Arabidopsis thaliana: one gene and its partners. The protein of the gene in region 2 interacts with the protein of the main gene of each other region in a pairwise test. Each region holds a gene or a part of one and is shown on either strand. Other genes may lie near its edges.

Evidence for each region.
Region 1: the proteins of AFO (region 2) and TCP15 interact in binary tests that used the Arabidopsis thaliana proteins (3 or more experiments, as listed by UniProt).
Region 3: the proteins of AFO (region 2) and ERF8 interact in binary tests that used the Arabidopsis thaliana proteins (3 or more experiments, as listed by UniProt).

Annotation. Positions count from the first base shown.
Region 1 is NC_003070.9:26,214,401-26,219,137, forward strand, and holds TCP15 (TCP family transcription factor), read left to right. Parts: upstream 1-1,608; 5' UTR 1,609-2,048; coding exon 2,049-3,026; 3' UTR 3,027-3,671; downstream 3,672-4,737. UniProt on the Arabidopsis thaliana protein: Transcription factor involved the regulation of plant development. Together with TCP14, modulates plant stature by promoting cell division in young internodes. Represses cell proliferation in developing leaf blade and specific floral tissues.
Region 2 is NC_003071.7:18,627,100-18,633,200, reverse strand, and holds AFO (Plant-specific transcription factor YABBY family protein), read left to right. Parts: upstream 1-2,421; 5' UTR 2,422-2,648; coding exon 2,649-2,762; intron 2,763-2,772; exon of another isoform or gene 2,773-2,883; coding exon 2,884-3,045; intron 3,046-3,139; coding exon 3,140-3,272; intron 3,273-3,847; coding exon 3,848-3,896; intron 3,897-3,986; coding exon 3,987-4,062; intron 4,063-4,480; coding exon 4,481-4,558; intron 4,559-4,673; coding exon 4,674-4,751; 3' UTR 4,752-4,949; downstream 4,950-6,101.
Region 3 is NC_003070.9:19,820,271-19,823,843, reverse strand, and holds ERF8 (ethylene response factor 8), read left to right. Parts: upstream 1-1,591; 5' UTR 1,592-1,747; coding exon 1,748-2,305; 3' UTR 2,306-2,507; downstream 2,508-3,573.

The DNA.
Region 1 (4,737 bases), on a different chromosome or scaffold from region 2:
TTGTTTTGCTTTTTAGATTTGTCAAATATGCACAACACCTTTTAACTATCAATTCGTTTTCTTTTCTGTTTAGTCTTTGATATATAGTTTTCTTGATATTTTGATTGGTTTACTAATTACTACAAGCAGGCCGATACTTTTAGTTATTTATATTTTACGAGGGAAAATTATGGTCAATGAACATATTCTAGTTAAAACATAAAAAGATATCACATATATAAGTAATTAAAATATAAAATTTTGTCATTTGTAAATATGTTTGGGCGAAAATGTTTGGACATCCCATAGGTTTTATGTGGCTATGCGTAAAGTTTCTAATAGTTAGACTAATCAACGTTCCTAAGAGATCATCAGAACTAGTTACACCTTACACGTAACGTTAATGATTCGTCTAAACTAAGAGACGATAATTAGCCACAATAGAAAATACTATATTTTGATTTTTGAGAAGTTTTATCTTCATAAAGCTTAGACATTTGAAAAAGAATAGTAAGATTATAACAAATATATTTTACAATTTTCAATATATACTAAGAAAGATGAATTTGCCTAAACTCAAAATTAATATGTGTAAGAATTTTTATAATTGGTTTTCTCCATTTCTTTTAACAAAATCATATGTATATTCAAATATACTACCTGGCAATTATTATATGCATGCTTATGTTGGTTTATGTAATAACTTGGATTTATTTTGTTACACTCAATTTCTATAAAACACAAATTTGAGATTTTTAAAAAATATTTATTTAAAATATCTTCATAATAATTCGAATTTACTTTTATATTATTTTTTTCTTTTGTATTCTCTAATTCAATTATATTTTTAACGTTACCATATATATATATATATATATATATATATATATATTACGCTGGTCCTAATTAGTAGTATAATCTATGTAACACCGTATATTTTGATTCTTTGAACAGCTTATATGAATAATCATCACATAAGAAGGAGCCTTCTTCATCACTATTCACTACATATAAAAATTCGTTTCAGAAAAAAAAGATCAATGTTCTGTCCACATCAGAGTATCAAAATAATTTTCTAAATTTAGTGCTACATCTTTTAACGACAATTGTATGTCAATGAGATAACTCCAATGGTGGAAACAAAAGAGAAGCATTACAAATTTGCTTTTATATATCTATAAAGCACTGTAACTATGGTTTTATAAATAATAATATCAAACTGGTAACTCATTCAAGAGTCACAGAGGAGAAAAAACAATCCATCTGTTTCATAAAAAAAGCAGTTGGATTCTATTATATCATGTGGATCTCGTGAACTACCATAGAGCCATGGATTAATCACTGTCATTCTGTCAATAATAATTCTATCTATTTATTATTCTGTTGTCACATATGTACAAAATATATGTAAACTTCTCAGTTCTGTCTGAATCGCTGAAATTTTCGCTAAATGTGCAATTAATTTCCCGATCGCTTGAAGTTAACAGTTACGACGAGAAACTGACGTCACTTTTTAATTATTGTAAAGAATGAAAAAGAGTGTTCGTATAGGGTAATTGTATTATTGTAAAAAACTATGTATCCAAACACAATAAATACACGAACAACATTTATTTTCACTCACTTTGATCACTGTACGTAATAAGGAAAAACATTTTATTTGAATGAATATTTGTACAGATTGGAGAACCACGTAAGCCCATCTCTTTTATTTCCAAAAATAACGAAAAATTCTCAAAGGGAATAGTTTATAATGTAAATAAAATTCCAAAAATAAAACACAAAAGATATAAAGCAGCAAGAGAAAAAAAAAGTCCATGCTTTCATATTCATTGCTTTAATCTCTCTCTCTCTCTCAGACATAGACACAGCTAAGCTTCCCATCTGAAAGGAGTTTCATGTCCTAAGGACCATATTATAACCTCTCTATCTCTCTCTAAGTATCAGCAAAAAAACAGAGATTTATAGAGAGAGAAAAAAACTATGGCTCACATAAAGATCTAACAGAGACAGTAGTATAGTCCCACTTCCCCACCACCAAAGCTTCGATCATCATCATCATCATCATCATGGATCCGGATCCGGATCATAACCATCGACCCAACTTCCCTCTCCAGCTTCTTGATTCTTCTACCTCCTCCTCTTCCACTTCCTTAGCCATCATCTCTACTACTTCCGAACCTAACTCCGAACCTAAGAAGCCTCCTCCTAAACGAACCTCTACTAAAGACCGACACACCAAAGTCGAAGGCCGAGGCCGTCGGATCCGTATGCCTGCCATGTGTGCTGCACGTGTCTTTCAGCTCACACGTGAGCTTGGTCACAAATCCGACGGTGAAACTATTGAGTGGCTACTCCAACAAGCAGAACCAGCGGTTATAGCCGCTACAGGGACTGGAACCATTCCGGCTAACTTCACTTCTTTAAACATCTCACTTCGTAGCTCAAGATCTTCTCTCTCTGCTGCTCATCTTCGTACAACTCCTAGTAGCTATTACTTTCATTCACCACATCAGTCCATGACTCATCATCTTCAACATCAGCATCAGGTTCGTCCCAAGAACGAGTCACATTCTTCGTCTTCTTCTTCTTCACAGCTTTTAGATCACAACCAAATGGGTAACTATCTAGTACAATCAACTGCTGGATCTTTACCTACGAGTCAGAGTCCTGCAACGGCACCGTTTTGGAGTAGTGGTGACAACACACAGAATCTTTGGGCTTTTAATATTAATCCTCATCATTCCGGTGTTGTCGCCGGAGATGTTTACAACCCCAACAGTGGTGGTAGTGGCGGCGGTAGTGGAGTTCATTTGATGAATTTTGCAGCTCCTATTGCTTTGTTTTCTGGACAGCCTTTGGCTTCTGGTTATGGAGGAGGAGGAGGTGGCGGTGGAGAACATAGCCATTATGGAGTTTTAGCGGCGTTGAATGCTGCTTACCGACCGGTGGCGGAGACGGGGAACCATAACAACAACCAGCAAAACCGTGACGGAGATCATCATCACAACCATCAAGAAGATGGAAGCACCAGTCATCATTCCTAGGCAAACATACACAAACAAATATATTCTGTGAGATTTATTTTTCTTTTTTTGTCCTTTCGTTTGTTTGTTTGTTCTTAACAAGCGTGTTTTTTTTGCATTGCTTCTTTTTCATATATTTTTATTTATTTCTAAATTCTAATATTCTACGGATTTCATCTTGTTTATTTTTCTGATTAATGTATTGAGTAAGTAATTAAGAACCTGATAATCGATATGTTTTAGTTTGTGGTTTTTGCATGCAAGGCTTTGGTTTTATTATTCTAGAGATTTTTGCTTGAAGTAGTTGTCTTGTGAAATGTTTTCCTCATTACTATTGAGTGTGAGAGTTTTCTAATACTTGATTAGGGTTTTTGAACAATTTTTATATATGTATATTAATTCAGTACGGATTATCAATAAATTATTTCGCATGCCAAATTATTATCTTCCACTTCGTTCATGGTTACATTGTCTCGAAGAAGCTACATCTTATGCATTGTGAGCAATTATTCAGGTTCTAGCTATCTCTTTTAATATGTTAATTTCTTTGCATGATTAACATCTTACTCCTGACTGGTCTATTGGTGACTATGCTAAGATAATGTAGATATATATAGTAACAAAATCATATAGGTCAAAGCATTAAGTGTGATTGTTTTGGTTAATTATAAGTGTGTTGACGAGGGGATGCATTGTAGATATGATGCCATATTAATGCCAGTAGGTTTATGCGCATGGTGGTTTGGATACGTTCAATTTATAGCCGTTGCAAAAATTGAAGGCATTTAATTTTGCTAATGATATTACCAAAATTATTTGATTATGAATCAAAAGATACAAGGAGAATTATCAAAAAAAAAATATATAGGTCCATTATCCGTATAAGGTAGCTAAGAACTTAATTAGTCTGGTGCTATGTTTGAAGACTCACGTACGATTTACAATCTCTGGATCTATGAAACTCATCACCAAGCAGGAACCTGTATTTATACGTCAATATTTGTGAATTTTCGGATACCCAAAAAATACCAAGAATATATATTTCATTTTCTGCTGAAAATCAGAGAAAAATGTGTTTTAAAAACAATGTCTATAAACAAATTTATAGATTGAAGTTAGAACTAAAAACTTTTGATGGTTATAGATTTCAGCTTGATCATTTATTTCTGAAGTGTTTTCGTTGGATGAAACATAGATTATATATGTCTATAATTAATTGAGACATATACATTGATGATATACAAAATAACCAGGAATTTTTCGTTATACAGAAAAATACACAAGTCTATGTAACATGCGTAATAACCATATGGTCCATATCGCTGCATTTTGTGTCGGTCTACATTATTGGATTTATTTTAGTATAATGTATGTGATACGTTCTTACCATGCATGGGTATACATAGAGAAAGGTGTATAAATCAACGAGCATGGGAATTATGACGTTAATAATTCTAAAATAATGCACACACATCCTGTTAATATAAACAATATAAATTATATATCAGTTTATTATGGAAATAATACTTGAAACTTCTATAGATCGGTGTGAACCATTCCTTGACATCATAGGCATGTCGGTTATATAACCTCATCCATATGTTCTATCAATTAATCAAATATGGTAATTAAAGAAAGTCAAATATTGTGACATACATGCATTTTTTTTTACTAACGGTTGATATCAAGCATTTATAGACGAACGTCTATTTGATGATCTCAATAATCATAT
Region 2 (6,101 bases):
TCTATGATTCTTCGGATCGATTAGTAACAAATACTAATTAATATTGATATACAAGCTAAGGAGTTATTTTCAATTGGTGGGACAAAACATATATGATATATGCATTGCATCATTTTCGCAAGTAGGTGCATAGATATTTTCTTAGACATCTATACTTGAAATGAGAATGGAATATTATATAAAATCATATGTAGGTTTGAAATTAATTACGTGTGGAGTTTTGCTCGTGGCTTTCACCAATATGGTGTTCCTATATATACGTACATATTCATGGCGCTTTTAAAACTATCATTGAGAAACACTACATTAGTATATTGGCTGTTTCCCTTGTATAATTCTTAGTTAAAAAGAGTTTTCTTATCCAGCAAAAGCAATACAAACTAAAAATAAAATTGTAATCTAGAAAATAGCTAGGAAGATAAATCATATAGTTTCCTTATCCTAATCAATGAAATTCGGATACACATTTGAGAGCGTGCGTAAATTATTAAGTGATAAATGCCAAATATTTTAAAACAACAAAATAACGATTTAAGTTAAACGGAAATATAAAACTAGTATATTGATAAGCAGCCGGTTAACTCGGAAATTTTAACTACAAAAATAGAATTAATTTACTTTCGCTTTCATGGAAAGTCTAGACTTGGATGATTCCAAATATTCAAATGGAGGGGGAAAAAACAATCATATAATTGACTAAAAAGCTAATGATAACCAATCAATAAAAATGGAGCATCATGTTTATCTCTACATATACATACATGATACAAACAAACAAAACAAAGTATGTTTCAATTGAAATTAAATACTAATAATTAAAAAAAAAATTAAAAAAATAGGAAAGGAATTGTATAGAGAAACGAGAAAAAGTAATGGCAGTGGTAATTAAGGAATGACAACAACGGGTGAATGAGGCGACGCTTAATCACTCCCATGCACACGTCCCTTTCTTCCCCCCACCTCTGCCGCCCTCTCTCTCTCCTCTCTTCTCTTCCTCCATTGGGAACTGCGAATTCTATTGTCAAAGCTTTAAAACTTTTTTCACTTAAATTTTTTTTCAAGAGCTTCGTCGTTTCTTAACTTACTTGCAAACACATTACATGTGTCATCACGTGCAACCCCAACCCCAAAGCCTAAGCTCGCGAATCTTCTAATGTATGCCTCAATCTTCCCTTGTTCATACTAGTACTACAATATCTTCTTCCTAAGATTTCAAAATTGATCATGAAGTGGTTTGTAGTTTAGTGGTCATCGCTATATTGATCCAATCTCATATTTTTGTCGAAAGTTTTGTATAGTAGCTATAAATTTGATTCTTTAGTTAGAATTTCTTGTTCTATTTATATAGAAACATAAATGCCTATAGCTATTTTCATATATTAACATGTGCTTTTAATTGTATAGACCAAAATTTAATTGATTGCAAAATTAGGTTTGTAATTGTTTGAGATCAGATAGAAAAAGGTCCATCTTTAAGCGATAATATCCTCAAAACTATTTTGTCATCAGTCTTGTCTCCTTGTGACCACAAGGTCATCTTAGAGGTACAACGGTATAGATGCTTAATGTCTACGTTTTCTAGTAAGGGTGAGACCGCATGGTCAACCGAATTTCTAATATAGGCATTATCAAAAAGAAATCTTATATTGGATGTTGACAACAAAGATTTAATAATAACTCGCATCATTTGACTAATTAAAAATTAAAAAAGATCTAAGTGAGATGTATATTTTTATCAAAAAAAAAGAAGTGATATTTGTAAAGAAATTGTCCAATTCTTTTGTCAATTAATATTATGTTCAAAGTAATTTAACATTTGTTTAATATCTGGATCCACTTGTCAAGATTATGCATTTTGTGATAAATAAAAACAAAGAGTGCGGTATAGTGGTGGTACAATTCAATTGTTATGTGGCAATACAATTTATAAGAATATACGGAAAAGGTATAAAAAAAACTGTTTGTGAAAAAAATGAACTGCTTATTCAAATGGTGTTTAGGGTGTAGTTCCGAAACTTATTAAAAAAACTAATGTATGTTTATTTTATCGATCATAAATTTTATTCGGCCACTTGATTTAATGAAAAATTATATAAATAGTTATTGTCTTATTAAACACCGGCATATTTATTTTTATTTGGTTTGTGTTATCTGTTCTACACCATCCAAACTTATTCCATTTATGTTGCTGGTTCACTACCGCTGACTCTGTTATACTATTCAAAACCTAAAATTGTATATAACCCATTGGAGAATTTCTTTAAAGAATATATGTATCGCTGAATTGAAATGTATAATACACCACATTATATATATACACACAGTATTACCGAATTAATTAACGAAATTAATAGTAGACGACCTAGAGGCTACAATTAGAGCATTTGTTGTTTAATTTTTACCCTCTAATATATTAATATCCCCTTTCCCTTCTCACTCCTTTCACCTCTTCTCTCTCTATATATCTTCCTTTGTGGTATATAATACACAGCAACCCAACAATCAAGAAGATCAGATCATGGTGGGGTTTTTTATTTTCTCCTTATCAAGAATCCTCTGATCAGTCAAATACCCATCAATCAATCAAATCCCCAAACACTCCCAAAAAAAGATCAGCTTCCAATATTTTTCCCCTTCTTACAAAAAAGATGTCTATGTCGTCTATGTCCTCCCCTTCCTCAGCTGTTTGTTCACCGGACCACTTCTCTCCTTCCGACCATCTCTGCTATGTCCAATGCAACTTTTGCCAAACCATCCTTGCGGTACAAAATAACCTCTCTTCAATACTTTCTCTCTCATTTTTTCTCCTCCAACTTCTCATCTTCTTGATCTATACAAGATTAGGGGTTTTTTAAATTCATTGTTTCTTTTGTGTGCTTATAGGTTAATGTTCCTTACACAAGCTTGTTCAAGACCGTAACTGTCCGATGTGGTTGCTGTACCAATCTCCTTTCGGTGAACATGAGATCATATGTCCTCCCAGCTTCTAACCAGCTCCAGCTCCAGCTCGGTCCTCACTCTTACTTCAATCCCCAGGATATTCTGGTACTTAAACAAAATTCAAATACATAATCTTATAGGGTCTCATTTAGCTTATTGGAAGTAATCTCAAGCCTCAAGGATATAAATATTATTGTAGGAGGAGCTGAGAGATGCACCGTCTAACATGAATATGATGATGATGAATCAACATCCTACTATGAATGACATACCATCTTTCATGGATCTTCATCAACAACATGAGATTCCTAAAGCACCACCCGTTAACCGCCGTAAGATACTAATTCTTCTCACTTTTATGATATTAACTTCTATGCTAACCGTGTTTATAATTTGGTTGTGATGATGAATCGCCATTAAGACATGCATAGCTTTTCTTATTTAACTTTCACTGGATCTCGTTCAAACCCTAGCACCATTGAATTAAGTCTAGAAGGAGATTTTTTACCTTTCTTTTCTTTGTATACTAGAAGGAGACATGAGAGATTATGATTTTGTATATTTAAAATATTCATTGATCCATGAACTTTAGTATGTGTTGATTGTCTACATATCCTAGATGGCTTTTAGCGTTGGTAAACATTAAAATAGTGACGATAAAAGAAACGGGGAGATAGATTCATGGATCCCCCGGAAATCTAGCTAAAGAGAAAAAATCTATGTAATATGTTAGAAGATGGGCTTGTCTTTAAAAAAACATGATGAAGTGATGATGGGTTAGAGAGAGAAAGTATTTGTGTGAGAGAGAAAAAAGACAATGAAAGTAGTTTTAATGAGTGTTTGTCTCTTTCTGTCTGAGTTTTTGTTTTTTCGCTTTGTCTTTGCCGTTGAATTTCGCCATTGCCAGCTCCAGAGAAAAGACAGAGAGTCCCATCCGCATATAACCGATTCATCAAGTGAGTCTCTTATTTAATTTTTACAATCATTCATATTCTAACCATAACTGTGTAACATTAATATAATTCCTTGTCACGTTTTTATTTTAGGGAGGAGATCCAACGTATCAAAGCTGGTAATCCTGATATAAGCCACAGAGAAGCCTTTAGTGCTGCTGCCAAGAATGTAAGAACCTTATTTCTCACATCCCAAAAATTTATATTAAACTGTTATCCATTGGTTGAATCAAATTTTAATAATCAAAAGAGTCCTTGATAATCCATATTTATCTCTAGTTCAATAAAAAAATTATTTTTTTAAACGCTGAAAATTCTAGTTAGAAGTGATGCGTTTTAAGTATTCTTTGTTTTCCTTTACTAAAGAATTTAAGCCATTGATACTACTAACATCACAACTTGGTTTAGATTGCCGGCAGAAACTAGGGTTTGATTTTATCTATGCGTATAGTTGCTCTTGTATTAGTTGTATATATATTAAACAGTCATATATGTAGGTATAGCTGAAATTAGGAGTAAAGAATTTTGTCGGGTTATAACACAAGTTGATATGTGTCTTGTACGTATGTTGTTTATGTGTAATGCAGTGGGCCCACTTCCCCCACATACACTTCGGGCTCGTGCCAGACAATCAACCCGTGAAGAAAACCAACATGCCCCAACAGGTAAACCCTAATCTGTCGACATACCTTACATCTTTAATGCATATACTTTTATGTAATATCATATATACAAATATAATTTCAATTGATTTGGATCATATCTTAAACATGTGTGTAGGAGGGAGAGGATAACATGGTGATGAAAGAAGGGTTCTACGCTCCTGCAGCTGCTAACGTTGGTGTGACTCCTTATTAAAGAGATAAATATAATCGACTAAGTATTTGAGGAATTGAAATCCAATTTCTTAGGGTTTATCATGTCCAAAAGTTGTGGTTTCTTTTCCTTTCTTGAACTTATTTATATATATTATAAATATGCATGTGTCTTTTTCTGTTGTTGTAATCAAAAATCTTGCTAATTAATGGGGTTTCTTAAGTTAATTTTCATTTGTAGTTGTATAATTAATTAACTTATCAAAATGTTTTCTTATTATTACTGAAAGCCGAATTTGAAATTTAAATAATCAGACTTTTTTAATAGATTTTTACACCATCGCCATATGTAAAAGAAACTCAAAGGAAATTACAACCACCAATTAATCCAAAGCTTTTTTTCCTCCAGAATGAATATATCACAAAAATTTAACCGAAGAGAAAACAAGAGGGGAATGATCATATTACATTTCAAAATTCAAACTAAACTAAGAATGGAAATATGCACAAGCATTTGCTTCCCGAAAACATGTAAAACGATGTGATTCTGTTCAAATTTCTCCATTCAAAATCTGATTCTTGAGATTGTTGCATATGGTTCAATCTTATTGCTCCCATTAATGGTTTTATAATAGTGATATGGTATAATTAAATAAGAACTGGGGCATGCATCAAACGACAATTGTTGTCAAAATAGAGGGAAATTAAAAGTTAAGATAAATTTATTTCGTAAGATCAAAAATTCAGTGATAGCAATAAGCTAATCTAAAAGTGTATATCAGACTTAAATTTAACTCGTCTTTTTTTCTTTTGGTGCAATATAGAGCGGTGGATATAAGTAGCAAATCAAACAAAAATGACATTAGGATATGAGCAAGCATGATAAATAACAAAAAAAAAACGTTTTGGGTCAAGTGACTATATGTTATCAGGCCTACTAGAATTCGGCCCATTAATATTAATGACGAGTTTCCTTAGCAATCAGTGGGCCTGGTATACAATAATGCGATGATAATAAAATGATTTAAATCCTTCTTTTTTTTTTCTTTTTTTTTTTGGACTAAAAAATGATTTAAATCCTTAGCACCGGATCCCAACGGAAATTGCTTCTCAGAATAGTTTTCTTCAGTCTCCGACTATATTTATTTCATTTTCCGATCATCGTACTATACACTCCCCAACATCGAGTAAACAAGCTTAGTTGTCAATTTACGAGTTCCAAAAGAAGAATCCAACAAAACGCAGTGTTTCGTTACTTCTAGACCCATCTAATTTCTACGTGTTGTATGCAACAATGACGGCTTTACCCTTTCGCTTTCTAATGTGGTCCATGTTGTTCTGGACTTATAGGTCCATATGGGCCTATGTTGGGTTGGATAATAATTAACCAATA
Region 3 (3,573 bases), on a different chromosome or scaffold from region 2:
TGTAACAACGTATATTTTCTCCACAGAACTAACAAATTCGAATCTATTTGTTTGATGGTGTTCATTTTTAATCCAATGTACATATGCAAGTAGTAGATATCTCTTTCTTTTTTGTATATACACGATATATAAAATAGTTCACTAAGTTATAAATCTAAAAATTTATTTTGATAATATTTTGTTTACCAAATAAATACACAAATAGTATATATGCGTTGTTCGTCATGATATCGTCATATATAAAATCCACTACAATATAAAATTTTGGTCATTTTGTTTGATAATATTTATTTTTCACCAGATATAAGCATGTAAATAATAGATTTTTTTTTTCTTGTCGGCTCGTTAACGACATTTATAACGGAATAACGGTATACTAAAGTACAAATTTTTATTCTATTCCCTTTATACCAAATAAGCTTTCATGGTAACATCCGCTAAATTATATATTGTCATCATGGTAACATCCGCTAAATTACAAATTTCAAATAATTTTTACTTTTACCAAACAGAAAAGTAAGAAATATTTTTTTGTCGACACTTTAACGATATATATATGTAACGGTATATAATTTACAAATTCAGAAATTTTGTTCGCTATATATTTTCTTACAAATTTTTTTTTTTTTGTTTATGTGTTAACAACATATATAACTACAAATTCGATAATTTTGTTTGAATATTTTTTCTACTAGATACACACACAATAGTTTATATTATATATATATATATATAAATCTTGACCTAACTAAAACATATAGTTTAAAAGGGTGTTATTAGTTCTTAATTAATTAAAAAAAATTCAAGAATCTGATAAAATCATAGATTGTAAAGAAATGAAAGTTTCTAAACTATTATTATAGAGTTTTCTATAATCTTGTTGATTAGTTTTTCACAATTTCTAAATTTTCTCAAACAATCTTTCTTTTTTAATGATACTTTTCGTAACTTTATTTTGGAAAAAGTGTAGAAAATCATAAACCAATAACACAATAATTTAATTCATTGACAATTATAGATTCTTTTGTTTTAGCTAAATAATATAAAATTTATAATAATTTTATAAAAGTATAAATCCAATAACTATAGATTTATCAAGATTTTAAATTATTTTTTACAAATCTTAATATTTTAAATTTTTTTAATTGAATAACAATAGATTCTTTATAATATTTTAAGTTACTAAAACTTTAATTAAATCACAAACTAATAACACTCTTTAATAGTGTATACTAGTATTATTGTTATGTCATTATATAGATTTAAATCCGCATATTACATTGCTTTAATAAGAAAAATTACTTAAAATTGCAAAGTGGCGATATAACATGTTTTATAGATTTAGTACAAATATGTTCCTAGTTTAAATAGGGATAAATGCAGCAAAAACCAAATTATATTATATTCTTAATAGGCAGTAACTTAATTTATAAGATTGTGATTTGTGCAGTCTTTGTTACAAAGGTGAAAAAGGGTAATAAATAAGATTCTTTTGGAGAAAGAGAAGTGAACACGTGGCAAAACATAAGTGGATATAATAACAAAAACCAGTTTTTATATGAAATAAGAGAAGCATGAGAGAGAGATAATTAAACCATCTCTCAAAATGGCTTTGACTGTTCACAAGAAAGCTCCCCAAAAGGAGCGTTGCTTTACTCTCCTATAAAAAGAAGCTCTTCTACTTCTTCTCGTTACCACAAAACTCTTTCACCGATCTTCTCGTTCCATTCTTCTTCCTAATTACACCATGCCCAACATCACCATGGGTTTGAAACCCGACCCGGTTGCTCCAACGAACCCGACTCATCATGAGAGTAATGCTGCCAAAGAGATTCGTTACAGAGGCGTTAGGAAACGTCCATGGGGAAGATACGCCGCTGAGATCCGAGATCCGGTTAAGAAAACTCGAGTCTGGCTCGGTACGTTCGACACCGCTCAGCAGGCGGCGCGTGCTTACGACGCAGCCGCGCGTGACTTTCGTGGTGTTAAGGCTAAGACCAATTTCGGTGTTATCGTTGGTAGTAGTCCTACTCAGAGTAGCACCGTCGTCGACTCTCCCACGGCGGCACGGTTTATAACACCTCCGCACCTCGAGCTCAGCTTAGGCGGCGGCGGCGCGTGTCGTCGTAAGATCCCGCTTGTGCATCCGGTTTACTACTATAACATGGCGACGTATCCAAAGATGACGACGTGTGGTGTCCAGAGCGAGTCTGAAACGTCGTCGGTCGTTGATTTCGAAGGTGGAGCTGGGAAGATATCTCCGCCGTTAGATCTGGATCTTAACTTAGCTCCTCCGGCGGAATAGGCCGTGAGTTTTTTTTTTCTTATGTCGTTTCTTTAGACAAAAAAAAATAACGTTTCCTTTTTTTTTCTGCCTAAGAAAAAAATATTATCCGTTTTTTAGAAGAAAGTGTAGAAAAGCTCCAATATAATTTTTAGCTGCCGTGAAAAAAAAGTCGTTATGTATATATTATTATGAAACCCTATTATAAATCGACGTAACATAAGAGGATCTTAAGCTTTTTTTTTTTCTTTAGTATTTGCCAAGGAAATGCATCATCGTAAATTCGTAATTGAAAAGATAAAGTATTATAGAGCTTTTTGGGGCTCGTGTGTAGAAGAAATAGATAAAGAATGGTAATGTTATTATTATAAGACTAAATATAGTGATGAGTATCGTCGTCGTCGGCTTGAAAAGACAATGGTCCAAGTGTCGTGAAGACACGCACCAATCGTGGGAGGACCGGACCCATCTTCTCTGGCTGCGGCGTACGTTAGAAGAATACTTCTTTACGCTTACGTCATTTTCACAGTTTGGACTGCTTTTCTAACTTTTGACTTTTGTGTTTTGCATCAACTCTTTTAACTCCGATGATTTATTAACAGATGGTTAAGAGTCTTGCTTAAGTTGAATAGTATTCGATTTGAAATGGTAAAAATGTTTTAAGGAAGTTGAAGATAAGAAGAGCGGCGGCTTCATAATGAGAGACAAAGGAAGGATGAGATTTGATTTTGATTCTTGTCGCCAACTTTGTGATCAAAAAACGTATAAAACAGTTATGCTCTATGGTCGCAGATCCAACGGCTGGAATCGTCATCGTTACCACGTGGACGCTTAACATAATTTAAATTCTTATTTCATATTTTTTTAAAGAAGTTAGTATGTTTTAAAATATATATATATGCATGCGTACAAAATCGTGTTAAGGGTTATAATAAAGGGATGTAAAATTGGGGCCTCTAGAAAGTTGAATAGTTTCAATTAAGCCCTTATCTTAACGACATTTAGCCCCACTCAACCAAATATACACCCATGTCATGTCACTACGCACAACTATGGATCACTCCCATAAGTAGATGTTTTATATCAATTGACGATTGCAACTTTTTTACGTTACAAATTTAATGCTGGACCGAAGGCTACCATACTAGGATCCGAAAGCCCGATCCACGTGTGGCGTCATCAGGACAATGTTTGCGACACGTCGGCTGAGGTGTTTGGCGCGGTGTTTATGATAACGGCGTTTACACAAACCTCTGTTTATGAGCTCTGTGACTGTGACTGTATGATTT